Linked DNA regions of Arabidopsis thaliana. The protein of the gene in region 1 interacts with the protein of each later gene in a pairwise test. Each region holds a gene or a part of one and is shown on either strand. Other genes may lie near its edges.

Region 1 (17,535 bases):
ATTGATACTTTATGTTATGTAATTGAATCCTAAGCTCTTGACATTTTATGTTTTTGTAGAGAGAAAATTCTGGTGAACGTGTGAGGTTTTCCCGAGAAGAGATACTTCAGCACAGAGAGGTATTTAACTTAATTCTCTGATTCTGTTTTTGACTTTGTGAACCAAATCATTCACCTTTGTGTTTTCTTGATCGCAGTCTGTTCAAGTCTCTGATGAAATTCTTAGACGCTGTAAGGAAATCGCAGTTGAGCTTTTTGGCGAAGAGCAGAGTTGGGGGAATCATGCAGCCGAGAGTAAAGTAAGTGTGTGTCTGTGTGTGTGTGTGTAATCCTCCTGTTTTGGAATCTGTCTTTTAAACTTTCATTCTTGGTTTTGGTCTTATTAGATAACAAATCATACTCAGCATCGTCATACCGAGACTGATAACCGTGACTGGCATAGTCGTTCTCAGATTCCAACCTCTGGTAAAGAATGGTTAAGGGACGACCCTCGTGAAGCCAAAAGTACATGGCAAGGGGTAAGTTTTCGTCACTTGTTATGTGTTGGCATATCATTACTAGTTTTCTCTTCTTGCTAACATGATCATCTTGTGAAACAGTCTGGTCCTACCCCTGTGCTGATTAAAGCGGAGGTTCCGTGGTCAGCTAAAAGAGGAGCTCTTTCAGATAAAGATCGAGTCGTTAAGAGCGTGAAAGGGTATTGTCAACAACTAATACTATTCTTTTCAGCTTTTGTGTTTGAAGGTTGATGTGATGTATATTCTGACTGATTCTTTACAATTTTATGCAGTATTCTAAACAAGCTTACTCCGGAGAAGTACGAGCTTCTTAAAGGTCAATTGATTGACGCTGGCATCACTTCCGCAGATATCCTAAAGGTTTGTTTCAATTCCTGATCTCTATTGTTGTAGTTCTCTCTTTCATGGTATTGATTTGCTCTTACCTTTGATTGCAGGAAGTGATACAGCTAATTTTTGAGAATGCTATACTGCAGCCCACATTCTGCGAGATGTATGCTCTTCTGTGTTTTGATATTAACGGACAGCTACCTTCGTTTCCCTCTGAGGAACCCGGTGGGAAAGAAATAACCTTTAAAAGAGTGCTTTTGAATAATTGCCAAGAGGCATTTGAAGGTGCTGGCAAATTGAAGGAAGAGATCAGACAGATGACTAATCCAGACCAAGAAATGGAAAGAATGGATAAGGAGAAAATGGCAAAGCTCCGGACACTTGGAAATATCCGTCTGATTGGTGAACTTCTCAAGCAAAAGATGGTGCCTGAGAAGATAGTTCATCATATTGTTCAGGAGCTTTTAGGAGACGATACTAAAGCTTGCCCAGCAGAGGGAGATGTTGAAGCTCTCTGCCAATTTTTTATAACCATTGGGAAGCAACTTGATGACAGCCCACGATCTCGAGGTATTAATGACACGTACTTTGGTCGGTTGAAGGAGCTAGCAAGGCACCCTCAGCTAGAGCTGCGTCTCAGATTTATGGTCCAAAACGTTGTTGATCTTCGAGCTAATAAATGGGTACCAAGGCGTGAGGAGGTAAGATTTTATCATTCCATCTCAAATCTTTTAATAACAGTCTTTAGTTCTTTATCCGTGCTTACGTGTTGTTGTACTTATTCAATGGCAGGTGAAAGCGAAGAAAATCAATGAAATCCATTCTGAGGCAGAGAGAAATCTTGGGATGCGTCCGGGTGCAATGGCAAGTATGAGAAACAACAACAACAACCGCGCTGCGGTTTCTGGTGCAGCAGACGGTATGGGCTTGGGAAATATCCTTGGCCGTCCTGGTACTGGAGGAATGATGCCCGGCATGCCGGGAACTAGGGTGATGCCTATGGATGAAGACGGCTGGGAAATGGCACGGACCCGGTCCATGCCCAGAGGCAATAGACAAACAGTGCAGCAGCCGCGTTTTCAGCCACCTCCTGCTATCAACAAGTCACTCTCAGTCAACTCAAGGCTTCTTCCTCAGGGTAGCGGAGGTCTCCTCAATGGTGGTGGTAGGCCAAGCCCTCTTTTGCAAGGTAACGGTTCTAGCTCAGCTCCTCAAGCCTCTAAACCCATTCCAACTGTTGAGAAGCCGCAACCACGGTCTCAACCTCAGCCACAGCCACAGGCAGCTCCTCTGGCTAATAGCCTGAACGCAGGAGAGCTCGAGAGAAAAACCAAGTCGCTTCTTGAAGAGTATTTCAGTATTCGTTTAGTGGATGAGGCATTGCAATGCGTTGAGGAACTAAAATCTCCATCTTACCACCCGGAGCTCGTCAAGGAAACAATCTCGCTCGGTCTAGAGAAAAACCCACCATTGGTTGAACCAATTGCCAAACTCTTGAAACATCTGATCTCTAAGAATGTGCTGACATCTAAAGACTTAGGGGCAGGTTGTTTGCTCTACGGTTCCATGTTGGATGACATTGGAATCGATCTGCCAAAAGCACCAAACAGCTTCGGAGAGTTCTTAGGGGAGTTGGTCTCAGCTAAAGTCTTGGATTTCGAGCTGGTGAGAGATGTTCTGAAGAAGATGGAAGATGAGTGGTTCAGAAAAACCGTACTCAATGCAGTGATAAAGAGTGTTCGCGAGTGTCCATCGGGACAGTCTGTATTGGATTCGCAGGCGGTTGAAGTTGAGGCATGCCAGAGTTTGCTCTAAAAGTAAATTGGTTTGGCCGGCAAAGTCTTAAAATGTTTACTTGAGGAGTAGTCTGAATCATTTTTCTTATATAAGTTTTGAGTTAATATCACATACTTGGAAGATTTGGTTCAGTTTTGTTACATCTTTGTTTTTTTCGTTCATCTTGAGTTTTGAACATTTCAGGGTGAGGAGAAAAAAAAACACAATTTGTTGATTGTTATCTTATTCTTAGTGCCTACACAATTTTTGTCTTTGACATTAATAATCTAATTAATTGTGGGATGCCTTAATTCAATTTCAATCATCGTTGAAACTCACTCAGGGTAATGGTAAGTATGGTACTACCATTATATAAATATAGTATGTATTAGGACTAGGGTAACATATAACAATGAAGATTTGATTGTATTCCTCACTGTTGGAATTCTCTTCAATATCGAATGGACTAGGGTAAATATAGTAATCACTGTCACTATCTTCATCAAAAGACTCCACAACTTCTTCTTTCTTCTTTCCTGGAAACAACTTAGCAAAGCAAAACAGGAAAGAAGAGAAAAGAAGTGTGAAGTCTTCAAGTGATGCAATAGCTAACAATGGTTTTAAACTTTTCTTCCTGTTTTTGGTATTGTCGTCTTAGTCATCTTGAATTCAGAATCACTGTCAGTCTCTGTTTCTTCACCAAGTGTCTTTGTCTTCTTCACTGTTCAGAGAAAAAACAGTGTTTTCTTTTTCCTCTTCCACTTCAGTGACTGCTGAGCTAATTTCTTTAGCTGTATCATAGCGCGATAGATACTGACCTTTAATATGAGGGCTCCATAGGCAAATAGTAATTGGGCATTATGCATTCATCATTCATCAAAGTATATAGTAAAATAAACCACAATACCTGTGTCTTAAAAAAAAATGGTATTATTATCTCCAGGATACAAGTAAATTACACTTTAAAGTACAATATGTGTGCTCAAGAGCAAGAATCAATCAAGAGGTCAAGCAACATAGTAGATTGGGCGTCTGTATTCATCAAAATACTCATCGCGGTGCAAGAAACAAATTGCGTAAATTGCGTATATTATTCCTGGTAAGTAGCCTAAGCAAGTCAGTATCAAACAAATGAAGAACTCAACCTACAAGTTAAACCAAAAAAACATGAGTTAGGAAAAACAAAATTTAAAAATTTTATTTTTTAGTCCCTTAATTAGTGTTTCTTTTTAACAAAAACACCACAATTATATTTTCAGTAATTGATCTCCACATTCATCATATTGATTGGTTCCCGTAAACCGGAGTGCAACCAATTTCAATTTAAATAACCGTAATCAATTCAATTTCAACTACGGTTTCGATTTCTGAAATAAGAAGCTGTGAAAGTTCAGAGATCGATAGAGAGAGATGAAACTTACAGTGCAACAGCCATGCCTGAGACAAACTCCGACAGGAGGAAGAAGAATTGCGATGAAGATCTCGCAGCAAAGCTCGCAACTACTCGCCATTAATTTACGGAGATTAGATCAGATTTGATGACTTGAAAAAGAGAAGAAGAGAGAAGCTTCACGAAACAAACAACCACAAATATAGTAGGTGTTGTGTCCAGCGACGTGAATCTTAATAATTAAGATACAGAGTGTACCGCGAGATCTTTAACCGTTTATTTTGCGGGATTTATTATATCCTACGGTTCGTTGTTGATATCTTTTTGGGTATTGACGTATGACGTCTGTTTATTGGTTGACTCACGGGAGCTTTGGTATGGCTTCACTTACCATACTCTTTCATTATTTAATCTCATTCCAGCTGATAAATGATATTACTAGATGAGCTACATTGCATTATCTTGGATTATAATTGTGCCAAGAAAAATTTGAAATTTTTTTAGTTGTAAATACAGTTAAGATTATTAAGATATCATTAAATTTAACACATGCACAATTTAGTCATTTTGATATTAAATACATCGATGTGAATGTAAATTAACAAATACAAAAGAAAAACAAACAAAGTTACATCAAGATAGGGAATCCATATGAAGAACCAAATATATAAACAAACAACAGCCGGAAGCATCCTCTAGATTACAATATTTGGATGCATAATCGAGATGCACCATTCAAATAATAAAACGAATAACACCCTAGTTGTTCGAATATGAAAAGACATACTACACTTTTTAAAGAATATAGGACACTCCAATCATTATTAACTGAGTTTAAAATGAAAATATGTCATTGTTATGATGCGAGTTAAGCGGCTTGAACTAATCGCTAGAACTTATTATATATTTCTTCTGTTGCATGAAGTTTGATGTTGTAGGTTTTTTTTCACAAAAAATTGATGGTTTGTATAACATTATTATTACTTTTAGCTGTGATTAATAGAGAAAACAGAGAAATAGAATTAATATTATTAAACAAGACAAAATAATAATCAAAAAGTATAAAAAATACCTTTTTTAATTTGTGTAAAAAACCTACAATACCAAACTTATGAAACAGAGAGAATACTACTTTTTTCGGGACGCCAATGATTTTGCCGCTTAGCTTAATAGTAATCATATGTGAGAATTTTAATCGGTGATATATTGGTAGGCAGAAAATCATCTCCATAAATTAAAGATAATTGTTCAACCACCTAAAATACATTAACCTAAATTTTAAAAATCGTTTGAAATTCTCACTTCACAAGTCAAATCCCTAGTAAGTTAGTAATCTTATATAGACAAATCGAAAGTTGAACACGATTTTAAAATTTGGTTGAATGTTTCAAAGTATAGAATTTTTGTAAGATTTTGTTTTAAGAATCTGTTTGAATTTGAATAATGCGGGTCAAACCTCTACAAAGTTACAAAAAGATAAAGATTGAACAAAGTTTTTGAATTTGATTAAAGCCCTTGAAAGATTAAAAAAAATATTAGCATAATTACCATCTACAATACATTGACTAAAATTTAAAACTTGTTTTTGGTTCCACATAAACCAAATCCCTAGTAAATTAGTAACTTTACATAGAGAAATCCGCCAAAAATTGAACACGCATATAATGTAATAATTGTAATCTCTTAAAATATTAAAACTCCCTTTAACATAATTTTTTTAATCTAAAATACATTTATTTTAAATTTTTGTTTGAAACGCCACTACACAAATCAAATCCCTAATAAATTTGTAATTTTATATAGAAAAATCCGTCAAAGATTGATCACATAATGTAATTTAAAATTTTCAATAAAACAAGTTTTTAAGGAAAATAGAAATATATTTAAATCTTATCACAGGTCAAATCTCTAATAAATTAGTAACCAAATTTGCTAAGTATTGCATATGATTAAATTCCATATTGTTTTTAAAAAATCTCTTGATATTATCACAAGATTCACAACAGTGAAAGAAAAAAGGGAAAAAACAGAAAAAAAAAAGCTATCCCTGTTATTTAAGAAAAGTGACCGACCAGAAGGTAAAAGCGATTACAAACGATAACCCTCTTTCTCCGCTCTCTCTCCAAATTTTGAATTCGATGGAATTCAGATACAGAGCCATCGATAATAATCGCCCACCTCCTGCGACGGACACGACACCATCTCCGTCGCTGAAACCGAACTTTCCTTTCTTGTCGGAACGATCAATGCCAGGTTTGTACTGTCTGTGCATCGTATTTTTTATCCATCCCCGACAGAGAACATTGTTATGATTCTGCACTTTTCGTATTTTGTTTGGTGATGCGATTGTCTATAGGAGTTGATTTGTTGAGACCTGTTTAGTTTCTGTAACGTAAATTTTGAGTGTTTGTTTTTTCATGTTTTGATTTCACGAAATTGAAATCTGTGTGAAAAATCTGAAGTTTATGAATCTTCTCATGTCGAAATGTGAAGTGATTATGAACCTTTTTCGTAGGACAACAAAGTGAGGATCAAGTTCGGGAAGCGATCAAACGAGAAATTGAGAAAGAACAAATCCGTCAAGAGATCATTATCGCAGAAGCAGCGAGAAAACGAGAGCTTATAGCTGAGGTTTTACAAGAGATGGCTATCGAGAGAGAAATGGCGATACGACGAGTTTCAGACACGGAGATGTCTCTAGAGGAAAAGCTAACTATGTGGATCAATCAAAGGAAGCTTCCAAATCAAAATCAGAATCAGTTCAACAACTTTTTCAGACAGAAGTATAGTTACATTGATTCTCTGATCAACACAGGCTCTTACAACAGTCTACTTACATCACCAATGATGCAATTGCCTCAACTTCAGCAAATGTCTGAAGCTACCGGAACATCAATGTTGGAGTCTAATAAAGAGAATTTGATTGTATTGGTGAGTTCTTTAAGTAATGGTAAACATAAATGATAGAGTATATATAAGCCTTTGTTTCATATGTGTTCTCTTTGATTTCTCTATTGCAGAATAGAGCTGATATTATAGGAGCTAAGCCTAAAGCAGACAGTGTTGGTACCATGCAATTGCCTAAACTTCAGCAAATGCCTGAGGCTACAGGAACATCAGTTTTGGAGTCTAACAAAGAGCAGTTTATTGTATTGGTAAGTGTTTTACTACGAGTGTGATATCTCATCTTTTCTATCCACGTACTTTCCTTACTTGCTTATAACAAATCCTGACCATATGTGTTCTCTTTGATTACTATTGCAGGCTAGAGCTGATCCTGTAGGAGAAAAGCGTAAAGCAGAGGATATTCAAACTGGTTTGAACGAAGATCTTCAAGTGAAAAGGCCGAAAGCAAAAGAATCAGAAGCAAAGGCGATGTCTTTGGAAACCGGAGAAATAGTCTCTTCGAAGGTTCCTTGTTCAGGGAAACTTGGCAGTGGAAAGAAAGCAGAAGGTAAGCTAAGAACTAACCAGAAGTTTTGGTGTGAGATTTGTAAAGTTGGGACCTATTGTCAAATAGTCATGAGGGATCATGAGTTAGGTAAAAAGCATAAGGCTGCTGTTACACAACAGAATGAGACACCTGAAGCTGCTTCAACCTCCTTATCCCCTGCTTCCGTTACAGCACCGCAACCAGAAGCCATTAGAGTATGTGAAAATGCTAATCCGCAGGGTCAAAAAGTAGATGAAATTGCGGCGAAAGAAACAACGGGAAAGAAGACAAAAGGTGAGAAGAAAAAGAAGGAAACGGTTTGGTGCAAAACTTGTAATATTCAGACGAATTCTGAGCAGACGATGAGGAATCATACGCTTGGGAAAAAACACATGGCTTTGCTTGAGAAACAGCAGAATAAACTCATTACAGTCCCAGTGAGATCTCTGAATGCTGATCCAGGACAGAAAGAATCAGTATCTCTAGCAATGGATGATACACAAGGTAAGGTTCATTGCTTGGAGAAGTCATAGAAGATTCTTTGTAACTTTGTTAGATTATTTTATATCAACTTTTTTTACCAAAAAAACCTTTGTTAGGTCATGACAATATACCATGAGGAATCAGAGATTGAATTCATGAATTTATTTTTATTTTTTCTTATGCAATGTGACAGTAGGAGATTTGCATGATGTTTTTTTTGTTGTGAGATTGAGAATCATGAGAATAATAACCAATGCCATTAGAGAGACCAGAATAAGTGTATAGATCATGATTGCATTTTGGAGTGTGTGTTGTCTTATGCTTTTATCATATGTTTTACAAACTTACAACTGTACAAGCAGAGTATGTTTGTTTGGACATGATACGATGATAAATGTCTTCTTTCAGGAGAGGCCCAAAATGGTTTGCCTAGAGGTATTTCAAATGTTTGGGGTGAGTCTCTCTATACATAGAGGGTATATAGACAACTCCACAATCAATCAATAGTTCTTCTCGCAATACAGCTCCACAAGACCACAACACATATGACCATGTCCCATACATAGAACCACGAAAGATGGTTCTATTGTAGCATGTTTTTTTTTTTTTTTGGTTTAATGAAGCATGTTACAATCTCTGATAAAGTTTCATCTATACTAGAAATTGAATTTTTCGAAAATCGAATCAATATCTGATGTAAGAACATTTTACGTTTGATCACTCAATTTCGTACTGAAAGTGTATAAACTTTAAAGTTGCGACTTCTTCACTAGAAAAGAATGGTACAAAAACAATCTAAGCTCAAAAAAAGAGTTAAAGTGACGTGGCGCAAAATCATTGGTTAAAAGCTTCAACAAACACAGAAGCTACGAACAAGTTGCCCGGAAAAAATTAGCTTCCGGTTTTATCTTCTCGAATTTCAGAAAAAAAGCCCTTCTCTAATATCTCTCTACTCGTACAACAATGGCGTCGATGGCTGCAACCACCAATTTCACCAAATCTATGCTCTTTCCATTCTCTCATGGTTAGTCTCTCCTAAATCCCTACTTCTATCTCTCGCTTAAGGTTTCGTGACACTGGATTTTGAGTCTTTATGTATCTGTCGTACATTAGGTTTCATCTGAATTTGCTTAATCTTTCGTAATTAGACTTTTCTATTCCATAATTGGAGGAATTGAAGCGTAATTTTGTATTTATAAGTGTTTTTGGGATTGAAATGGGCTTTAGTAATTTTTTGGTTTGAATAGTTTCAGGAAATGCGAGCTTGAATTCGCAGAGAAGAACATGGCCAAAGCAGTACAAGTCTAAAAATGGTTACAGGTCTCTTCGAGTGAATGGATTATTTGGAGGTGGAAACAAAGATAATAACAGTGAAGATGGACAATCAAAGGTTGGTACATTACATTGGTTTTTTCAAATATCAAACAGATTCTGCAATAGGTGAACATTTTAAGTTAGGCTTCATGTTGTAAAGATTCAAAGTTTATGATTTTGGAACTAATGAAGTTTGTGTGTGATCTTTCCTAGGCAGGAATATTTGGTAATATGCAGAATATGTATGAGACTGTGAAGAAAGCTCAAATGGTTGTTCAAGTGGAAGCTGTACGTGTTCAAAAAGAGTTAGCTGCGTAAGTCCGGCACATTTATCATACAAAATTTGAGGAAGTTTTCTTCTATGAGTAATGAGTTTTGCATGTTGGTTTTGTTCCAATTTCGCAGCGCAGAATTTGATGGTTATTGTGCAGGCGAGCTTGTCAAGGTCAGTTTAGAGCTTGTTTTGGCCTTAAGATAGATCAATGCACATAATAGATCAGTGAAGTATTAACTAACGTTTACTTGATGATGTAAGAACTGTGTTTTCTGATTTGTTAGTCTTTGGATGATTTGGCAAGAACTCCACTCTAGAATCTCAAAACTTTGTTTAGTCTTTATTGTTTCTGTTACAAAGTCTGATGACCTAAACCTTATGAATTTGTGTCAGGTTACGTTATCAGGTAACCAGCAACCAATCCGTACTGATATTACCGAGGCAGCAATGGAACTAGGTTCCGAAGTGAGTAACCATACGTACCTTGTTATGGAACAGTCAAAGCTAATTCATCAGTTTCTCTTGTTGATGTTGTGTGTTTTCCTTTGGCAGAAACTATCACAACTTGTCACAGAAGCATACAAGGACGCACACGCCAAGAGTGTGGTGGTATAGCAATTTGCAGACCATTTATCACAATGCAACTAAAGTATTTGTTTCTATCCATTTCTTCTAATTGAACTTTGTGAATTTTTTCACAGGCTATGAAAGAGAGAATGAGTGACCTTGCGCAGAGCTTAGGAATGCCACCGGGTCTCAGCGAAGGAATGAAGTAAGAAGCTGTTTTTGTTGTTTCATTTCAACTTTCAGGTATGAGAGGTTCGGCTTTTTTTGTTTGTTTGTATATCAGTCAGGCAGAAGCAAAGAGCTTTGTACTCTACTCTTATGGAATTATATATAAAAGATTTGAAACTTTTGGTTTTCTGCAATTTTATTCCCAAGGTATCAACACAATTGTTCTAGTATCAACATATATCTTCTTCGAATACAAGAATGCTTTTAGTGTCTTATGAAATCAAGTTGATTTGAAACATAAAAATTTCAAAAGAAAACACCGAGTTAACTCGGGTTTTGGAGGGAGCCTTCTATCTTATGTGTGTGACTAATAAGATCTTGGAAGCTCTTTGCCGGCCAAGAACGATCTTAAAAGAGTGAGAGCACGCTCGGGTTGCAACACCGGCACTTCGTGGCCCGCCCCTCTTATCGTCGCAAAGGTAAGCCCCTCATATACCTCTGTCCATCCTCCCACCTGACACCACCACCATGAGAAATCACTAGCTCTGCATAATAAGAATAGAACCACGAATTTGATGAAAATTACCTGCTTTTCGGAGTACCAAGGGTACCAGGGAGTTTTCACCGGAAGATTGAGTTTACTGAGGGCAAGTCGAGTCCCAGTCACTGGAACCACTGCGTCTGTATCGCCACTACATCAACAAAATGTGGTTAAAGGACACGAAAGGTACTTTACTTGCAGCTAGTTTCATGGTTTACCTAAAGACCCAGATCCTCAAACCAGCGGCAGTGAGTTCCTTGTATATCGGCAACATTGAAAACTCGGAATCTTTCCAGTTGTTATTCACAACCATATTGCACAATGTCCACTTATAAGGAATGGAGGTAAGATTAGCGTGCATAGCTCGTTGCACATCAGGACGGTTGTAATATATCTCAGCGTAGCTTTCGGTACAAGGGTCGTACTCGTATTCCTCTACCAAAAGCCGTCCATGCAGGAACTTGGTCTGGTTGGTTTGATGTACACATGAGGGTGAGTAGATGCTGTACCCATTGACTTTGCCAAACTCTCTGTAGGCGAAGTAGAGTGCCCAATTGCACTTGTCCGAGGTTTTATCCGCAGTGAAGCTGCAGTGTTTGAGGATAGACTTGTAAGTTTTGTCAGAGATCATTGCGTGTGACCACGCATACATGGCGGCTCCTAATCTGTCGTAATGCTTGTCCATATCTCCATTTCCCACCTGTGCAAAAGAATATATATGCATTAAGGAGGGATTAAGGTTTCGGAAATGTGATAAATAGAACCGTAGTTTTACCATGAATCCTTTGAGGTTAATGATGGGTGTATTGTTGAAAGCTTTGTTGTAGAGATGGATCTTTTTGGCAAGCTGAGGAACATAATGACCTATAAAAGATATAGACATGAAAATAAGTCTATGGTCTAGAAAATGACTTAAATAAAAACCATATTAATTCTGACTTGCTTCAAGAGTGACATACCAGCGTAGCTTTCACCAACAATGTAGAAATCTCTATATTGGTACTGAGGAAATCTCGACATCCATTTAATTAGAAATATCAAATTTTCCTGAGCTGCAGATTCAATTATATGTCAACATATTAAAATTAATAATGTAATTTCATTGTTAACAAAAGTGTATCCTAAACTATTACCTTGATAACAAATAATGTTTGATAAAATATAAGAAACTGACCAGTCCGTTCGTCCCCAGAATCTTTAAGATCAGAGCTTGTGTTAGTGTACGAAAATCCAACTCCAGCCGGCGATTCAAGAAACAAAATATTCGCTTCTATTCATTACAAATAAAAGATTCAAACAAACTTCATTGTTGTATAACGAACGATGTGACTCCAGAACAAATGAAACTATAAAGAAAAAATATTAACCTGTGTTCCACGTAAACTTGTTGAGATAGAGATTAGAACCGGTTTTATTGATCCGAAACGGTCCAATTTCCTCCGAAGCTCCATAACCAATCGATGAGCAACCCGGTCCTGCGATTTTATGTTTTCGTATTATTGAAGACGTAATTTTATTAAAATCTAGTGTCATTAGAACATTATTTTTTTGCTATTTTATTTATCATTCACATTCACATTCCAGTTCTTCCTTTAGCTTTAACTAGGCATATATTAGTGAGAAATGGGCACTGCTGCTAAAGTGCACGCTGGAAAATGAATTGTGGAAGACTGGAAGTAGGTGGCAACTGGCAAGAGTACGAACTCCAAAACTCAAGGAGATTATATAATGTTTAATCTTTCGAATAAACATTTATATAAATAAAAATTATAACAAGAAAAAAAGAAGTAAAATGATGATTATAAAGGAGGTTGCATGTTTCATTTATGAGAATCATATTGGGTTGTTGATGTTCTTTTGGTGGACACCGATTTGTTTCATCCACATTTATATTAATGATTGAAATTTTTACGATTACATAATATGAAACTCAGGGTAGGTTTTGTTGGTTTAAAAACTTAATAGATTCAAAAAAGTAATGTTAGTGGATTTCACTTTCTTTTCTTTTTCTTTTGATTAATATTTTATGTAGGTATATACAAAAATAATGTTTGTTTTTTTTCTCTTTTTTTTTTCGAGTCTAATCGTTAAGATTATTGATATTCCCTTATCATTGGTAAAGGGTGTACCATATTGTAACCAATTGGGGATTGGTTAATTAATAAGTTAAAGCAGGACAAAAATAATTACTCGCTCTCTGACCAATGAATAACCATTACCGTTTTATGCTATTACTAGGACCGAGCATAGAACAGCGACTTGTTTTATTGCAATTGTTTACGTTTACATTTCCTTAACGTTTTACAAATTTTGTTGCAAAAATCTATCGATATTTTCTGCAAATTATATTAAATTGAGATTATTATTATTTATTTATTTTTGGCGTTTTTTCAGATAGTTTAATTTGGAGTTATTATGAAGATATAAAAGAGAAATGCATGTGTGCACATATATGAGCGGAAGTGGGGAGACAAAAGAATTAAAGAATGTAATCTAACCTCCATTGAGCCAAAGAAGAAGTGGTTTGGTGTGAGAAGAAGAAGGGGACTCTGTAAGCCAGTAGAAAAGTGATCGACCATGTGACTCGTTCACAGTCACATAACCCGAAAACTGTGAGAATCCTACTTGCGGTTGCCCTGGAAGTGCCTTGATCATGTCCTCCTCTTGCTCTCTTAATGATGATGATGATGATGATGTCGATGAAATCACTAGTAGTATAATGATTAAGTGGATTCTTGCCATTTCTCTGTCTTTCACTATAGTCTCTGCTTTTTCTTCAATGGGTTGGAATGGAGGAGGATGTGTTGGTACCACTAATAAATTTACTTTTATATATATGCATGTAAGAAAGATATCGGTTTCTTTTACACAATGTGGACCCTCTCTTTTGACAATTGATCGCATGATAACTTTTAAAACTTTGTTAGTCGTATGTTCTCTCTTAATTTTACGGTCAAAGCTACCATTAGATGCTTCGGGTAGACCAATTGTAGCTTTGACAGTAAAATTAATTGTCAGAAGCCATCATAGACCACATTTAGGGATTTGCTGATTGAAATGAAAGATTATGAAAAAAAAAAATATTGGCCTAAAGAAGTCCTAAAGAACCCTAAAGAAATCAAGGACTCTGTTTTCTCCTTTTTGTAAGGGTTTTGAATTTTGTTTCTTAAAAAAAGAGGATTCAGCCCATTGGCCAATAAATTTTTCAGTCAGTTGCCAACATTAATCACCTCCCCAACATCATTCAGATTCGTACCTTGAGGAACACTTCGTTTTGAAGGTGCCTTAGTACACCAGTGGAGCTACAAATGTTGGGTCACTATTCACTAATAAGATCTTGAAAGCTCATTTCCAGCCAAGAATGATCTTAAAAGAATAAGCGCACTTTGCGGTTGGAAGAATGGCACCTCGTGCCCCGCCCCTCTTACCGTCACAAAGGTAAGCCCCTCGTATACTTCTGTTCGTCCTCCTACCTGGTTTCCGGAGTACCAAGGGTACCAGCGAGTTTTCACTCGAAGATTCAGTTTGCCAAGGGAATATCGAGTCGCTGTCACTGGAATTACCGAATCTGTATCACCACTGCATGGAGAAATGTGATTTAATGACCAAAATATGTGTTGCTATCATGATCTTTTATAACTAGGTGTCTAGGTTAATATACTGAAACATAGTGTACCTGTAGACCCAGATTCTTAGACCAGCAGCAATGAGTTCCTTATATATCGGTAACATTGAATTGTCGGAATCTCTCCAATTCCAGTTATTAAAGACAGAGTCACTGTAACAAACAGAGAGAACAAAAAAAATTGCCTGGTTTTTAATAATTTTATAACTGAAGTTTGACCTAGAGTCGTTAGTTTGGTTACAATTTGGTTCAAGAGTTTCTTGTAGTATACGTTAGAATAAAGTTATGAACATGTGATGAATAACAGTGGTTCAAGAGTTTCAATGTAGATGAGCAGTGGGAATACCTGCAAGCAGTCCACTTATATGGAATGGCAGTGTGGTTAGCATGCATAGCTCGTTGTACCTCAGGACGGTTATAATATATCTCGGCATAGTTTTCGGTACAAGGGTCATACTGATCTTCTAAAAACCTTTTAGTTGTGTGCATTTGCATCATCTGCTCAAACTTGGTCTGGTTCGTTTGGTCTTGTGGTGGTACACACTTGGGTGTGTAGATGCTGTACTGATCGATGTCGCCAAAGTCGGCAGCAGCGACATAAATGGCGGAATCGCATTCTTTGGAGAATCTATCCGCTGTAAAATCACAGTTTTTGAGGATGCGATTGTAGGAAGCGTCCGAGATCATCGCGTGAGACCACCAATACGTTATCGTCCCTAGTCTGTCGTTGTTTTTGTCCATCTCTGGGTTACCAACCTTCAAGGAGATATTAGGGACATATATGAATATGGAGTAATAGTTTTGGAAATGTGATAAATAGACCTTACTTAGTTCTTACCATGAAACCTTTAAGATTGATTACTGGATTTTTGTAGGCGTTGTTGTACTCATGAATTTTTTGGGCGAGCTGAGGAACATAATGACCTGTAAAAGTAGACGTTAATATATACATATTGACAGTTTTGGTTAAATCAGGTAAGAAAGACATGAATCTTGGTTTGTTTTTTGTTAAACAAGATTAACTAAAAACCATTAAACCATATAAAATCTAATTTGCTCTAAGAGTATGTATTTTATTGTTATATATCATATATGCATGGTGACATACCGGCGTAGCTTTCACCAACAATGTAGAAATCTCTATACCGGTACTGAGGAAATCTTGACATCCAACTTATAAGAAATATCAAATTTTCCTGAGCTGCATACACAATTACACTATTAATTAATTAGTTTCTCTTAAAAAGAACAAAAACAAAAAAGAACTGAATTGTAATTATTAAATTTTATAGTCTTATGTATATTTGCAATGCTGGTTAATGTCAAGACTCATATTGAGAATTATAATCTTCATGTGAAATTTTAGTAGTCAAATCCATAGAAAATCGATTGCTAACATAGGCCATGAGGTTAACAAATTGACACTAAGGAATTATGAGTTTGGTGCCATCAGATTATTGATGTGGGGTCTAAACATATTTCTTAAGATAATAATAAATCTTCTGGTTCATCGGTAATATCCATTTGGATGGTACTAGAGGTTGTTACTATATGCGAAGAATAATTGAATTTCTATATTAGAGTTGATCTTTTCATATTTTTTATGTAGAATCTTGAGAGATAGAATATTTCTTTTTATATATATATATTTAGATGAAAAAAATCTGACCTGTACGTTCGTCTCCGGATTCTTCAAAATCCGAGCTTGTGTTAGTATATGAAAATCCAACACCAACAGGCGATTCAAGAAATAAAAGGTTTGCCTCTGTTATTACACATTCAAAAATGTTATATAACTTAATTACAAAGTATTAAGTATATAGAAACAGTTTTCCATACAACTAATTTTGATAGTTGGAGTTGTGAAACATAGTGACTCCACAAATAAAGAACTAACTTGAAGCATGTCGAAAATTAACTTAGTGAGTACCTGTGTTCCAAGAAAAGTTGTTGAGATAAAGATTGCAACCGGTTTTGCTGATCCGAAATGGTCCAATTTCCTCCGAAGCTCCATAAGCAATCGACGAGCAGCCTGGTCCTGCATAGTTTAATTACATGTATGATCATATATACACAAAAATTGTTATTTGTTTTTCATATAGAATCCCTTATAAATTTTCTTTTATCATTAATAAATACAATATAACTTAAAAGGTCAAATATTTTTATTATATACATGTAACATTATTTTGGATAAAGAAGCAATTGTATGTTTTCAATTTTCTGTCTCATTTTGATATGTACTCGACTGATGTAATTGGTTTATCAAAAGACGGCCATATATGTATGTTTCTGTCATGCATTCTTATCAAATGTCAAGAAGAGAAAGAAAAATAATTGAAAAGTTGATGTCTGAAAGTGATCAGAGGGTTAGAGATATACTTATATAGATGTTTGGCCAATCATGCCTTTGCTTTCTTTGTTTTGTGGTCCTGAGATGAGAATGGATTATATGTAACAAGGATCTTTGATCAAATGACTCTACTTTTAAGTTTTCATACATCATGCCGGCTTTTGTTTAGTTAATAATTCTTTTTATTATTATTTCAATGATTAGAAGAAACTATTTATGTTCTTCCTTAATTTAGTTTTTCTTTACCCCAATCTTAACTTATTCTAGCTTTGCCAAAATTTCCAACTAATCTCAAGAGTATATAGGCATGTTTCCAGGCCTATCCTAAAGGACAAACAGGCTAAGCAACCGCTTTGGATCACCAATTATTCTTTTTAATGATCATAGCCTATGATTTGACTAATAACTTCATTTTATTAGTCAAATAAACTATTGTCCAATTTAATTGTTCTTGTTTTTTCTTTATTACTATTGGTTTAGCAAGTAATATAAAGGTTGGCTACATTTGCTTTAGTTTTCTGTCCGTTTAAATTTTAGTATATACGAAAAAGATAGTATATCCATGTTTTCATGTCGTTGTCAACTTGTCATGCACATTCTTTGAATGATGAGGTTTTGTAGCCGAAGAGCATATTCCAATTATTATTCCGTACGGATTATTTTAGTGAGGAAGTGGACATTTGCTCAAATGCACGCAAGATTGGAATTTTTCATATATAAAACAACATAAAAACTAAAAAAAAAAGTGCATGTTTCTTTTTGTT
Region 2 (16,119 bases), on another chromosome or scaffold:
AATTCTAGCAAAACATGCATACATATAACACGATCACGTTTAGACATGATTAGGATAGTTGTTATTTTTTTGAATATGATAACTGATGAGGATAGTTTGTGGAGTTTTACGACTAATTATACAGTTAGACGACGAGCTTGAAAATCTGGATGGTTTCGTCTCTTAGTTTGTGTGATTGTGTAGAACTTCAGTTCATTTCTAATATTTTATTATAAAAAGAAAGAAAGCAGTTTCATTGGATCCAAATAGTTTCGTAGTTTTACTATGTTCCGAGTCCAACAAGTTAAATCACTCCCGAGAAAGTCTAGAGTGCTGAAAAAGTCCTCTTGCCTAACTCTTTTGCATAATGACAAAACGTAAGCTCTGACAAATAGAGTAATCTATGTTATGGTTTTGTCTAATTATGTAATGTTTATATATTCGTTTGTGGTTTTGAGATGTTTAAAGGCCAACCGAAACAACATGTTCTATTACATCTCGTCAACCAAATTATATTTCTTTCACATGCACCCTAATTCTAGATTACTATTTAATTGTGATTTTCGTCTTGTTAGAAGACAAAGTAATAATACGATTTTAATTAAAGAAAAAAACTATAAGTTTTTACCTTTTTTCTTTATCTTTCCATGATGGAGCGCATGGGCAAACGACTAAATAACCTTAAACTTATGCCACATTTTTTAAAAAACATTGATCAACTAATTATTGGTCACTACGCCCTAAGAAAAATTATTGGTTTCTGCATTAATGCAACATTTTTTAAAGTCTAGTTGTCGGAACTATGTTTGACCCGATTGAATTAGTTTAGTGTTTGAACCCACTTGGATCAAGTGTCATAAGAAAAAAAAAACATATTTAGTGTTAGATTTATCCGGAGGTTCTACAGATTTTAATAAGTATTAAAGTGAGAGCCGGTTGTTAGTATTACCGACTAATTAGGACATAAATCACAAACTTGTGACTTAAGTGTGATACATGGCTTTGACCAACAAAGAAACATAACTGGACCCAGCCAATTGAGTAAAATCGAAGATATATATATGTACTTAACATTATCTTCAACATTTGCCCATACTTTAAAGCATAAACATTTACCTTTCATGGGGATTACATTTTTAAGTCTATAGCTATATCCATTATTCAGTTATGTGCATAAATCAGCTTCTTCTTCTTCTTCTTTTGTAACTAAAGCATGCATAATAAGAAAGCCGATATTGGACATAGACCAACAAAGCTATGTAATTGGAATGATCAGCCAATTAGGTAACACATCAAAGAAAAGAAATAATAGATCCTCCGATGTTTGGTAAATTTATTAATAATTATTTACACAAGTTGGTAATTGTGGAATAATTTGTCTACACAAGGTTGACAATTGTGGCTGAGCGATTATGTTAGAGTGCATCAAGTTGAAAGTGTAGGATTTTGTTGGACTCTTTTGGTGCCTTGGTAAAATAAGATGATATAATCGGGGTGGTTTTGATTGAGCTTCCACCAAGATAGAGTGTTCATATTTTATTAGCTAGTAGACTTAAAGATTTATGTCACTCATCGTAATGAGAAATTTCTACAATTTCCACTTATATACAATGCAAAACAAACTAAATTGGTACAACAAACATATATTCATGTGAACCTCATATGTTCCTCATGCATAGTTACCAATAGTTCGTATCTCTCGTCTTTTATTGGGAGTTATCTTATCAATGTGCTGAATTTGGCTATAATGATGTTTTTCAAATTGAGCACACGACCATGAGTACTTTATTTTTTGTTTTTTCAAAATGACTTAAAATCGTTGTGTATCATTTATCGAGTCTCTATTCGAAAGGCCAGACTAACTCGATTTGGACTGGTGCCAAGACAAAAGCTTGTTTTTGGGGAGGTGCGGAAAGGTGAAACCCTCCGTAGTACGTGATGTATCTCAGGAATAGAAATGTTCTGATTTTATCATTTAATCTTTGTGGAGTTTGATGAATATATAAAGGTGATTTAGAGTTTTTATGTCATTATTTACATGATTACTAAAAGAAACCCTAGGCTAAAAGATATTTGCCTCAAAATTGAAAAAGTTGAATATTTTAACACTTTACTAATATATACTTTGTTAAGCACCATTTTTCCCTCCTATTTTCTCTCCTTATTTCAAGACTACATGTGCCCTCATAGAGACACTTGCTTTTGCATTTCACTTTATGTTAATCTGAGCAATAAAAGACCTCTAAAGACCATATCTAAGCAAATCCCTGAACAAATGTCCTAATCAACAATTTAATTAATACTAGTTTCTTTTCGGTTTCAAGGCGTTTACCAAAAACCAAACAACTCTTTACACAAAACTAGTTCTATTCACTTTGGGATCGGTGATGTGCTTATTGCTATTAATTAATACTAGATATGATCATAGTCTCTTCTATTCCAAGCAACGCATACCACTTTGTTTATGTGGTACACCAGTCATTTACTTGCCTACTCAATAGAAGTTTTCACTTTTGATTTTGTATTTCTCTCCATAAGTATAATATTAGGAATAATTAAAGCTATATAAGTAAAGAATGCGAAAATCTTGATGGATTTAACATTATATATATATATATATATATATATCTTTCTAGATTTAGATTTAAACTCGGATTGTTATGCAATGACGCAACTAGTATAAATGACTAGGCTACATCTTACATGTTATGGTCAGCTAAAAATTGTTATGTTAAATGTGTGATTAAAATTAATTTAATTGAGGTGTATGTACACACGAAGGATTTTATATTGCTATAGATAGATAAATAAATAAAAATAATTTATACTGTTTGGACTGACCAAGTTATAACACTAAGAAAAACAATAATATGGGAATTCCACAGTTTATTTTTCACTAATTTTCAAAATCCGTTATTTTTTTTTAAAAAATGTTCTAACTAAACGAGAGAATTAAAGTTATATTCTCTTCAAGGAAGCTGGCAAATTTATTTAAAGTCTCACTTGTACATCAAACGTACGTTGAATCATTTATAAGAGCTGAGTGTGTAAGATACGTAATTTAAATTTGACAAGTCATTAGCTTTGCCAAATATTTCGAACACTATGAAGTCTGTGATCATTAACTTATTTTTCTTGTCAACAGAAGTCACATGTTACATCACAAATCCTAATTAGTAGAACACTAGAAATCAGATTTAGCTATAACCATCCAACATATAAGCTATACACTTGATTTTTGGAGACTTGTGGGTAAACTAACTACTCTTGAAATGTGAGACTCACATGTAAGTCTTGTTTCGGTAATTAATCTCTAAATTTTAATCTTATGTAACCCTACGTTAATAGACCGAATAATATTTTTTAACTTGAGTAAATCGAAATCAATACTCATATTACTAGATTATAATCTCATATCATATTCCTAATTTTTATTGTATTTTTTCTGTTTCTCTTATTGCCATTTATCTGAAATTTTCTTTTTAATTTATTTTCTCTTATGGTTTTGTCGTGATTCAGGAGTAGTAATTAATTCACGTCATGCGCGATTTAATATGAATTTAAAAATGTTATCTCAGTCCATGAGAAGTAGTAATTGTGTTGTGCGTATTGGTTTGAAGTAGTCCACCAAAAGAGCAATAAATGCAAAGCTCGTAACTTTGACCTATTTTTTGTTTGTCTTATTACACTACTGATTTTTTTTTCCTTTGCCATGTCTATACAGTATACACTATTATTCTCTCTTATTTTTCAATATATGAACTACATAACACATTTAATATAAACAACATGCATTAGTTTACATTAGATAGAAAACTTAAGCTGTTACATGATCCAGGACTTTGGTATCCTAGTGGCATGTCCGCATGTGTTGCAATCTCTTAAAACTCTCAAACAGCAACTACAACATATTCTACATAGTCTCTAGATTTGTTTGGGTCAACCATATAGTCTCGAATTTAAACGTCAAATTCACAGTACGTATATGGTTCTTAACCACTGTATGCCAATTATTATCACTAACCCTTTCAATTATACTGTATTTGAAACCCGAATCTTATATTAACCTTAGCGTTTTAGGCTTAAGTTTATTGTTGACTTTCGAACTGTTAACATACTTTTATGGGTGTATATATATGACTTATGCTACAACCAACTTTTGATCCTTTAACTTCTAGCATAAGTCCATGACTGTAGTTTCCAATGGATATGCTTAGAATCCCGTTGACATATATTTTGAGTGAAGAATTAGATGATGAACAATATAAAAGTATTTAAGCCTTTTAACAAAAATATAAAAATATATTAAAAAAAAATCCTGTTAATAAATTCTTTTACGGGAATGACCAATCAAAATATATGTGGGCTTATTGTTCCACGAACCAGGATGAAACACATCAGATGATACATCATTCAAAGGTTTTGCGAAAGTTCTTTTTATCTAACTAGGATTTCGGATGGTTTGCCTAAAATAACATAATAGAAGAAAATATGGGCGTTACGTATCAGGAAAATATTATCACAAAACAACATTTCAAGAATTCATTACTTTTAAAACAGAAATAGTAAGGTTAGAAAATATTCAAAAAGAGTGCATGTCTTTTAAAGTTGATGGGTCGGTCTTATAGATTGCGCATGTCCTGTATCTCTCCCAAACATTGTGGACCGGTCTATGTATTTGTGAAAGGAAATATGCCAACTTTTACTAGTCTCTCTCTCGCATGTGTGTGAGTGAAATAGTTTTAATATTTCAAATTTATTTCCAAAACAATTCTTACAAGGATTATCAACTGCGCAGCTTAAAAAATCCAATTATACTCAACTAGTATTATCACTCTATAGTTCAGAATACTTTTCTTGAAAATATGAAATATATATAAACTATAAATTTTATGTTTTTATATTATTTAATGAAGACAATCAATGGGATTAAGACCATTAACGTGTGAAACATAAGACATATATGATTTATCGTAAGGTTGAGAATCTATGTATGCTTTTTCAGGGACCAAAAGGAATATATAACATCCCTTCAGAAAAAAAAAGATTTACATGATTTGGGTTGTTACGTTTCAAAAAGAAAATTAAAACTCTAGTTTAAAATCTGGTAGATGTTTCAGCCCCTTGTTTAATAAATCTGAAACGAGATTCTCACCATCATTTTTTTGGGATAAATTATCACTATTATTTTCATATATATGTTATTTTAAATTGATTATTAATTATTTAGTAGAATGGTATAATCATGAATTATAAACAAATACGTGGAATAAAATAACTAAATCGAGATGTTTAATTAAATCAACTTAATTGTCAAGGAAAAGATTTATTTTAGTTTTATCATTAAATGACTAAACCAAAATAAACTAAGCAATATAAAAAGCCTAAAGCAAAGGAATTGACGAAACATGCCTAAAGTGTATGACATAGCGTATTTGAATGAAATTTGTTCACGAGAAAAAGATCATCTTCTCCAAACCCTCTCAGGCCTCTTTTCTCTCTGTTCACATCTGTTTCCTCGTCACACAAGACATATACATTAACCTAATTCAACTGTTCCATGTCTTTTAAAGTTTTCTTGATGGAATTAAGCTGATGCATGTTATTTTATGTTGTAATTATCATCATTTATGGTTAGTTAGTCAATTGGTCTATTTATATTATATGTATATCAACGTAACGACCCTATCATATGCATTTGGATCTGCATCACCAAGATGATGACTTTATAATATCCAAGAGATTTAACAATCTTAACAATCCTTCTCTCTCTTAATCTTGATTGCCATAAGTCAAACTTGAGATTATTTAATTACTATATGGAGCCCAATTATCGCATGTAAATGAGGTTAATATAAATAGGCAGATTTAAACTAACATATATGTCAATGGAATTTGAATAACTAAGAGTTGTTTAGTATTTCACAGCAATGCAAATATACAGGTTTTAAGAACAATATGCAAATGAATTTAAGGGATATATAAAAAGTTCTTAAAGAAAATTCCATAGCCACATATATAAAGAATTTGTTAACTTAAGCTATCATATACTTCTTTTTAGTATAAACTTTATTTGAAAAATTTGCATGTGAGTTCATAAAGGTTTCAACGAGTTCCTAAATAAAATCTAGCTAAGAGGCAATATTAGATGAGTATAGTGAAGACCAAGTGAGTATATCTTTTGGCAGACATATGCAAATCTTGTGAATATGATTGGATTGATATTATTCAACGGATCATAAAGAAAGAGCTTGATTGGAGGATTAAACAGCATATAAACAAATATGATATTAAACAAAAAATAACATATAAAATTATAGGGAAAGCCTGCACAGGTAATATTGACCAACAATAGCTTCTTTCTAACTAGACAAGGCCATGTGTGTTGTAGGACCTCCCAAATATATATTTTCTAATAATTATTTCATCATTTGCCAATTTATTATATAACCATTTCTCATCCTTCTCCTCATACCACCAAAAACCAACCTTCAAGAACAGAGAAGAAGTGATTCTCTAAACAACAAAAATAAAATAAAACTCTTCTTTCTCTATTTCTGTTGAAGGTACCTCATCATTGCAACACAAACTTAAAGCTTTGTTTGTGTCTGCTTTCAGACAATGATACCAAGTTACGACCCAAATGATACAGAGGCTGGTCTCAAGCTTCTCGAGGATCTGACAACAAATGCAGAGGCTATCCAACAACAAGTTCTTCACCAAATACTCTCTCAAAACTCTGGAACTCAATATCTCCGAGCATTTCTGGACGGAGAAGCCGACAAGAATCAACAAAGCTTCAAAAACAAAGTCCCTGTGGTGAATTATGACGACGTAAAGCCTTTCATTCAACGAATCGCTGATGGAGAATCATCTGATATCGTCTCTGCTCAGCCCATCACAGAACTCCTCACTAGGTAAACATATTTTTTCACCAAATTCTACAAAAACTATCGTTATATACTGTTCTCTTAAGAATTTTCGTTATACTTATTAGTAATTTCTTTGAGTTAATATTGGATGCAGTTCGGGGACTTCTGCAGGAAAGCCGAAGTTGATGCCTTCTACAGCTGAAGAATTGGAAAGGAAGACATTTTTCTACAGCATGCTTGTGCCTATCATGAACAAGTAATAAATGAGTTTTTATTACTTCAATCTTAATTTACGTAATTAATTTTTTTGTTTTGTGCATTAATATCTCTTAAATTCATTCTCATTCCAAAATAAAAAAAAAAAGAGAAATACAGAAATATTTCTTAAGAAAATAAAAAACACAATAGTATATAATAATTTTTGTAGCATCCAACAGAAACAATATACGTAACCAGCTCTCTTATTGGGCTTAAAACATTTAGGAAATATATTTGGCTTCTCTTTGCTACAAAACACCTTGCAGATTGAATATGTAGGATCCTAGTTACACTCATGAGAGGGCAAAAATAAATCAATTATATCTGTTTTCTTTAGTCAAAAGATTAAAACAGTGAAGGAATTTTTTTTTGATAGATTGGATTGTGTTTACATATTTGAAATTGCAGATATGTGGATGGGCTAGATGAGGGAAAAGGGATGTATCTTCTATTCATAAAACCAGAGATCAAGACTCCGTCAGGTCTAATGGCCCGTCCTGTTTTGACCAGCTACTACAAAAGTCAACATTTCAGAAACAGACCATTCAACAAGTACAACGTCTACACTAGCCCTGACCAGACCATTCTTTGTCAAGACAGCAAGCAGAGCATGTACTGTCAGCTTCTCTGCGGTCTAGTACAGCGATCTCATGTCCTAAGAGTCGGAGCTGTCTTTGCCTCTGCCTTTCTTCGAGCAGTCAAGTTCTTGGAGGATCATTACAAAGAGCTTTGCGCTGACATTAGAACCGGTACTGTCACTAGCTGGATCACTGACTCATCCTGCAGAGACTCGGTCTTGTCGATCCTTAATGGCCCAAATCAAGAATTGGCTGATGAAATTGAGAGTGAGTGCGCTGAAAAGTCGTGGGAAGGAATCTTGAGGAGGATATGGCCTAAGGCTAAATATGTTGAGGTGATTGTGACTGGTTCGATGGCTCAATACATTCCGACACTAGAGTTTTATAGCGGAGGTTTACCGTTGGTTTCAACGATGTATGCTTCCTCTGAGTGTTACTTTGGTATCAACCTTAATCCGTTGTGTGATCCTGCCGATGTTTCCTACACGCTTCTTCCTAACATGGCTTACTTCGAGTTCTTGCCCGTCGACGACAAATCCCACGAAGAGATTCACTTTGCAACTCACTCCAACACCGATGATGATGATGATGCTCTCAAGGAAGATCTCATCGTCAATCTTGTTAATGTCGAAGTCGGTCAATACTACGAAATCGTCATCACTACATTCACAGGTCAGTGACTCTCTATACGAACACAATCTAGGTCTGATGTGGATTCCTAAAACGGATAGTAACTTGTAGCACAAGTGACCTGTTACATATGTTTTTGTCAATAGGTTTGTACAGATACAGAGTAGGCGATATTCTAAAAGTGACGGGTTTCCACAACAAAGCGCCTCAATTCCGTTTCGTGCAGCGAAGAAACGTTGTACTAAGCATCGACACTGACAAAACGAGCGAAGAAGATCTACTAAACGCAGTGACACAAGCTAAACTAAACCATCTTCAACATCCTTCAAGCCTCTTGCTCACGGAGTACACAAGCTACGCAGACACGTCATCAATCCCAGGGCATTACGTGCTCTTCTGGGAGCTAAAGCCACGTCACAGCAATGACCCACCAAAGCTTGACGACAAGACAATGGAGGATTGTTGCTCTGAGGTTGAGGATTGTTTGGATTACGTCTACAGGAGATGCAGGAACAGGGACAAGTCGATTGGGCCATTGGAGATAAGAGTGGTGAGTTTGGGCACGTTTGATTCGTTAATGGATTTTTGTGTCTCACAAGGATCATCTTTGAATCAGTATAAGACTCCAAGATGTGTTAAATCTGGAGGAGCTCTTGAGATTCTTGATTCCAGAGTTATTGGGAGGTTCTTCAGTAAGAGAGTTCCTCAATGGGAACCACTTGGTTTAGATTCTTAGACTTTACTTCTTTTTCTTTAATGTATGATTAAAGTCTTGATTTTATAAGTATAAGATCTTCATTTGTTAAGTTGCTAATTGGTGTTTCTTTTTTTAATTGTTAAGCTTTTGTCTCTTTTGTAACAAACTTTCAGCAAAGTCCTCTCATTTTGTGAATGTATACTTTTGTGTCTCTTTCTTTATTATTCTTTGTCTCCCTCTCTTTTTCGAAAAGATTAAAAAAAATCGTACCAAACCCTTTACATAAAATCTAGCTCATCTCTTTTTTTCTTCATAGGAATGGTAATATATTCATATTGTATACATAAATCGAACATAACTGAAAAATAAAAACAGAGATTTTAAGACCGAAAAAATATTATAAAAGAGAAACTTTCGAAGTTCTCTTTTGCAATATATCTACGTTAGTATAAGATAAAGATGAAAATAAAATGAGGAGATTGAAATAATTGGATAGAGAGGTGAAGAGTGACGTATAGATGCACATGAAGATGGTGATGGTTTAATATGCCAGCCAACACACAGCAACATCATTGAGATCCACATTTCTTTCTTACATCATTTCTATTTTTTTTCTTGCATAAATCTCAACTCTATCTCTCGTCAACAGTTTTCACTTTTCTTTCTTTTTTCTCTTCTAAAATCCTGAAAATAATTTATATAAATGATCGTTACTTGTACTAGTTGTACATGTAATAAGTGTTGAAGTTGATTAAAACCACACAAAAAGTTTTGTTATGAATTTAATATAAGTTCACTAATATATGCAAAACCATTGTTTAATATGGAAACTATAAAGATTTTCGGAGCAAATTTCTTCCAAGTGTTGACATTTAACAAGTCTTGGATTTGTTTTCAGCTCAAAGTAGGTTTAACTCATTATTAGTAGAAAACCATGTGCCTGAATAGTATTGTAATGTAAACTGCAGAATATAAAATTTTAAGAATATTCGAACAACAATAAACGATGTGTGGTCTTATGAAATCATTATTATATAAAATAAAAACCAAAATTCTTTATATCAGCTATTCATTTTCACATCATAATCTACCTTTTCAAATTGTGGTTTTAATGACATAATTAAAATTAAATATACTAACTATATGAGTATTTGGTAGGACTACCAACGTATATCTATTACTACATTTAATGTCTGTTTGAATGTGGCTGTCGACATACATATATAGCCGTAAAATTTCAATATACAACCTATGTTAAGATATTGGATGAATATATTTTAAAACAAATCGATATATTACCATGATTTGATTTTTATAAAAACATTAAATTTGTAGAAATTTTTCTTGAAACTATCATGAACAAAAAAAACAGATGACATAGGTTTTGATCTAAATAACAATACTGTTAAATATATTTTGAACCAGATTGGCTACCGAATTCAATTTTTCTATTGGGGCTATAGGTGTTCTCCCGGGGAAAATAACCAATGGAGTTGATTACGTTGCTCCTCGCAGTTCTCCCTTTAACACCAACGGTAGATAGGAACCGAAATGTCTCACGACAATCTAAACCCAGGGCTCAGGCAAGAAAACCAGGGAAGCGTGAAAGAGCTCACTCGTCCAAAGTTAGATCTAGCGAATAGCGATAGCGTTTTTGTTTGTATAACAACTTGTAATCCACACTCATAGTTTCGGATATTCAAAAGTTTGATCGAATCAAAACGGTAATGTGGCTAATATGCCCACCCACCCCTCGTAGCTAGATTCATCGTAAGAAATGAATTGAAAGCATGGTAAAATAAAAGCAAAGCATGGTTAATGTGGAAGTAAGTAACCGACAAGAGTTGGATATGATGGATGTGTTGCTATAAAGAGTAAATGGGGTAAAAGAGACAGATCTATGACCCCAAATATTAAAGCAAAAGAAAAAAGGGAACAAACTTAACTGTTCACTTAAGAGAAAACGATGAGTTTCCTCTCAACTGTCCTGTCATGTTACTTTCCGTATCGCTCTCCAGAACAAAAACGCTGTCGTTTTCGTCTCGCTACCAACACAAAACCATTGCAACCCCATCTAATCCTGCTGTTTCAGTGTATATAAAATAAATAAATAAAACTGTTCATTGCATGTAAGTCTGGAAATATATACACGTATTGTCAACTTAATGACAGATTCGAATAATGCATTTTTCTTCGATAAGAATCTATCCACAATAGTTTTGATTAGAGAGCGAGACCCCATGAAAGTTAGTGTCTGAGACTTTATCAGCTTGTAGCCTTGTAGTCCTAACCACACTTAGACGTTGTGAATCTACAGTGGTCTATTCCAAAAATAGTTTATAAACATTTTATTTCCGCATTCGTAAGTCGTAACCCGTCCTTTTCTGTAGAAAAAAAACTACGTTAAACAAACATCATAGAAGGCTAGTTTTTATAGACAAATTAGGTATAAGTCGCACAACAAACCCAAGGTTTAGATGATGAACACAACTATTTCACTATCATAGTTAATCAAGGTGGTTAATCAAAGGAATTCTAGATCGAAACTCATAACTGTTCTCGTTATAACTAAATAATCGAATTTGATCAAATTTTGGGGTAAGTTCTCGTTATAACTAAATAATTGAATTCGATCAAATTTTCGGATAGGCTCGACTACGCGTTCTTTTGGAGGGGTCTAATACTCACCACTAGTCCAATACTCATGTGTAATATAATAACTCAATCAAGCTTTTTTTAGCTACTATAAATCATATAAAACTAGTCAAAGAAGATGTTAAATATGACGTTGTTATACTCACATGCAAAATAAAGTACATTTGTAACTGTAAAAGTTTTAATAATCAACGAATCATGGATTGAGAATAAATTTATGAATGTAGCTGGGAGTCATTAAAACTTTACTGCATGTTAATTTTTCGAGTTAAAGCATCCTTAATAGACTAATGGTTGAAAGTTTGGTTTGTTGATATTAGAAAGAGAGTATCATTTAAACCAAAAAAAAAGAAATAGAGTATCATGACTCTGGATTTAAATCCTGAATTGATAAACGGCAAATGCGCAGTAAAATGTGTTTGTAGTTGCATTACTACAAGAGTCAAATCCAAAACTACTAAATTTGTACAAACTAAATAGACATGCGGCCGAGAATACACACTAAGCTAAGAAGAAGAAAACTAAAGAGAGTTTTAAAGTTTTTCTTAAGTCTAATTATAATATCAAATCATAAACAAAGCAGACGTGAAAGATGCAACTAAAAGTGGAATGATTAACTAAAAAGGCAACAAAGTCGACATGCAAGCTAAACAAAGAAATGGTTAAACTCAAGATTAATAAATTGATCTATCGTTTTAAAAGTAGAAAAAAGAAAAGGAAATGTGAGCGTGTGTGAGCCGTGTTATGTAAAGGGAGAGGCTAGAATAAGGCCACGAGTGCAAGAGGGAACAAAGAGAAGCTAATAATTAGAAGGTTAGGGAGAGACTCAAGAAATGAAAAGAAGAGACAAAAGATAGAGAGAGAAGAGAGACCCACAAAACAAAACACACACGAGTAGAGATGCAGCATTAGACACGACTCCTCCTTTTTCCTACGCACGCAATTTGGAGCTCGTCCTCATATTGGAGGTAGGGACTCTCCTTTAACACTTGCTCTTTCCCTTCTCAGTTTTGGTCGGATTCATTTCATAAATCTCTCTCTCTCCCCCATTTTCTCTCTTATCCAACTTCTTGTCTCTATTTCCAATTCTAAAGAAACAAGCAAGATTTGGTAGAGATTATATGAAAGATTTATCTTATATACAATAACTTGTGAAGTAGAGACTCAAAAACCTTAGCAATTATTGATTGTTCATAGTTGTCACATTTTGGTCAAACTTAGCCATGTATCTAGTATCTACATTGGACCGTCCAACTTATGCATATTAATCTAGGTATTTTTGAATAATTTGTAGCCATGTTAATAAATGACAAAACTCCTAGAAGATTGAGACAGAAAGCAACAAGACTGAAGAGAGAGAGAGAGAGAGAGAGAGAGAGAGAGTGTGTGTGAGACCATAATATTAGTATTAAGAGTCGACCATATTAGTCGTACTCTGAACACCGCATTTAACACCCCACTCGTGTGTCCTGTCTTTCAATTGCTTGTCCCGATTCACGTTCAATGACAGAACCTTATTCCTAATTTCACGCTCGTTGTTTGCAAACTTAACAACTCTTACTTAGCATTTTCCTATCTCCATTCCGGAAACCCGCATACATCACAATCATTGTTGGCCTAAAAACACGCTAAATCTATTTTGACACACATGAATAGCATGGACTACCATGGAAAAGAGACCTATATCCATTTAATTGTAGGATCATGCGTCTTAACTGATATTCGTTTTAACCATGGTCACTTTCCTTCAATATGGCTAATAACAGGCCAGAGGACCGGAAAATCTGTACGTTATACTCGGAAGTGACTGGTTGAGTTCATAATTGTAGGAGTAACAAGATTTCTAATTTTCTACCCTTGTAGTTCTTATGGATCATAACTTTAGACATCTTAATACCACAGTAACACGGTCGGACATGTTTCCTCGGTGAAATACAACTCACAACTAGGGATTTTGGGTTGAAATTTTGCGGACAGCCAGGCTCGGTTCTGGATAGGACGGCCCGAGCTGGACCATTTTCATTTTGTCACAATTGGACCCCGATTAAGTCTAATCCCGCTTTTTTCATTGCACTTTCCAGGTAAGATGGGGGCCATAGACAAACAAGACCATACTAAATCCTAAAACTCAAGCCTAAATAAGGACCGGCCTAATCAGTGCATCAAATTGAGCCGGGCCAGGTTGGCCCATCAAAACACACTGAGGGGCAAAATATCAAAAATAAATAAAACTACAAGGGGATGACTTTAAACCGGGTCCAAATCCGGGTCCGACTGAACCAGGTTGCCCCATTTTTTTTTTTTTTTTTTTTTTTTGAATGTCAAAAAAGAAAATATGAGATGCAACCAACTCTCAATCAGGGAATGGACATTTTGATGGCATTTGTATTGTCACTTCTAAGCTACTAATCACAATCTACAAACTGTGTTTATGGTAGCATTTCTCCTCAGTGGTAAATAGAATCTATGGATACAAAATATTTACCTGTTCTTGAAGATGCTTAAAACATTCCACTATCATTCAGATTCTTACCCCAACTTTTCTTGCTCGAGCTTTTCAACTATAGCCTTCTTTTCATCATCAGAAAGGGACATGAACGTGAAAACAGATTTATCTCCGATATCATCCTTCAAAAACCAAACAAGATTATAGATGATTAGTATTATGACATTTTGGTACTTTCATAAATAGCAAAGACCTCTATGAAAGCTTGTACATGGCTTATCTTCAGAGAGGAACAATGTACCTTAATAGGCTGAGTAAACTTTCTTCCAGCAAATACTAGAAAGAGAGCCATCCATGTTCCTAGCAACACCAGTTTTACCTCATCATTCATCAGACCACTCTGCAAATTCAATTTACCAATTTAAGTCAGGCCAATTTAACAAATACCAAGATCCCCCAAGTTAAGGAAATTTGAAGCTTTCTCTTTAGAGAAACGACGCAGCAGATTTGATCTCAGGAGTCTAGGCAGCTAAAGCAGGATATCTTAATCAAACAAGGTACTTTACCAAATGCCCAAGAAGAACTGAAGGTATGATGAATGTAAGAAGGCCAGCTTCTAGCTTTCCATAACAAAGACCTGCAGACAGAAATTACATATCAAGAACATTGGCACGGTTAAAGATATGAAGCCTTATGCAGAAGCAAGATATTTACCTTCTTTGAAAACGAGTCCTGTGAGAGATGCGAATAGGGGACCAACAAACCAAACAGCGGATGGATGATCAACGACATAATGAACCAAGTTATCACCAGCTGGTCTAGCAAGGGCTGCGTAAGTAGCGAAAGAACCAACAAAACCAAGTGCCCATAAAGCTTGAAGAGTCCTCTTAATCTCCGTAACATATATATGTATTAGAAACAGAGATAGCCCCAAACCACTAGCACCAACAAAGTAAAACAGATCATGGTTTTGCTTGATTGTTTCACTTAACCAAGAGTCTCCTGGTAAAAAGGCAGCAGAAGAAGCAGCTACAAAAGATGCAGCAGCAGTTACTAGTCCTGATCTGTACAAAATAACCTGAAGAGAAAAAGGTACTCATCAACAACTTGAGCTACCTCTAAACTACATGACTATGAGAATATGAACAAATTGGCCTAAAACTATCAAAAGGATTCAACTTTGAGGAACCCAAGTGTGAATTGGGCAGGAATCGTAAGGAGAGAAGAGAAGAGACCTCTTTGACATCGGCTTGGTCAATGGTCCAAGGACCGTAAACACCTTTGTAAACGGTTCCATCGACGGCTCCTTGCGAACTATTGCTCACAGCCTTAACGTTAGCCCTTCCTCTTCTCACCCCAACTCTGGCCGTTAAAAACGCCGGCGATTTGTTGAAATAAGCCGGCGGTGTGACGAGTGTCGTCGTCGATAGCAAACGCGAGGCCATAAGTCACGAATCGAATTCACAGAAGTCGTACCGGTTTGGTCTGGCATAGCTTGCTAGTGAGCCAGATTGATCAGAGGTATCAAAACGCGGTCGTTTGGTTATGAGTCTTAATGTCTTATGACGTGGTTGGGTTGAATTGGTTGAAATAATCTGTGGTTATTATCATTTCATCGTCATGGACAAAATTCAACAGTAAGCTAAGAAATATCTCTTATGAAAAAGATCTTTTGATATTGTCTTTAGTTGTACATTTGGTCTCTTCCAAATTTGCGTAATGCAGAGACTTACCTGGATTCAGTAATCAGTACAAGTATCTCTGATTATCCACAAAAATGATTGTAATCTCATTGAAGATTCAACCAACAAAAATAAGTAGTAAGACCTACACTATAGCCACACAAATACCTATCTCAAATTTAGAGACTAGACTATGGATGATACAGAGTGAATGTAAAATCTTTGTGTTGTATAATTTGTCAGATTTTACGCCTCAATGCAAAAGCCATCTTGTTAGCTTGATTTGATTCGACTGATCTCCAACACTCTAGCACTGTTTAGA

What was found.
Region 2: the proteins of AT2G24020 (region 1) and AT1G28135 interact in a two-hybrid assay, tested with the Arabidopsis thaliana proteins (one large-scale study listed by BioGRID).

What each region holds. Positions count from the first base shown.
Region 1 is NC_003071.7:10,210,627-10,228,161, reverse strand, and holds AT2G24020 (Putative BCR, YbaB family COG0718), read left to right. Parts: upstream 1-8,693; 5' UTR 8,694-8,892; coding exon 8,893-8,953; intron 8,954-9,176; coding exon 9,177-9,319; intron 9,320-9,456; coding exon 9,457-9,557; intron 9,558-9,648; coding exon 9,649-9,688; intron 9,689-9,910; coding exon 9,911-9,982; intron 9,983-10,069; coding exon 10,070-10,126; intron 10,127-10,218; coding exon 10,219-10,293; 3' UTR 10,294-10,461; downstream 10,462-17,535. Other genes in the region: eIFiso4G2 (MIF4G domain-containing protein / MA3 domain-containing protein), read left to right, coding at 60-119, 197-298, 386-517, 599-696, 790-877, 955-1,548, 1,640-2,662; AT2G24040 (Low temperature and salt responsive protein family), read right to left, coding at 3,631-3,768, 4,045-4,134; AT2G24030 (zinc ion binding / nucleic acid binding protein), read left to right, coding at 6,152-6,266, 6,529-6,944, 7,034-7,168, 7,278-7,979; scpl23 (serine carboxypeptidase-like 23), read right to left, coding at 10,620-10,766, 10,839-10,944, 11,012-11,493, 11,569-11,657, 11,753-11,845, 11,968-12,063, 12,161-12,268, 12,706-12,750 and 1 more; scpl22 (serine carboxypeptidase-like 22), read right to left, coding at 14,120-14,372, 14,470-14,571, 14,765-15,174, 15,257-15,342, 15,527-15,619, 16,088-16,183, 16,349-16,456. UniProt on the Arabidopsis thaliana protein: Participates with ALB4 in thylakoid protein targeting. May function with specific subset of thylakoidal proteins. Binds to DNA and alters its conformation. May be involved in regulation of gene expression, nucleoid organization and DNA protection.
Region 2 is NC_003070.9:9,818,831-9,834,949, forward strand, and holds AT1G28135 (uncharacterized protein), read left to right. Parts: upstream 1-10,430; 5' UTR 10,431-10,501; coding exon 10,502-10,657; 3' UTR 10,658-10,754; downstream 10,755-16,119. Other genes in the region: GH3.17 (Auxin-responsive GH3 family protein), read left to right, coding at 6,601-6,896, 7,006-7,107, 7,518-8,359, 8,464-9,053; AT1G28140 (integral membrane family protein), read right to left, coding at 14,199-14,297, 14,417-14,515, 14,682-14,752, 14,830-15,193, 15,351-15,560.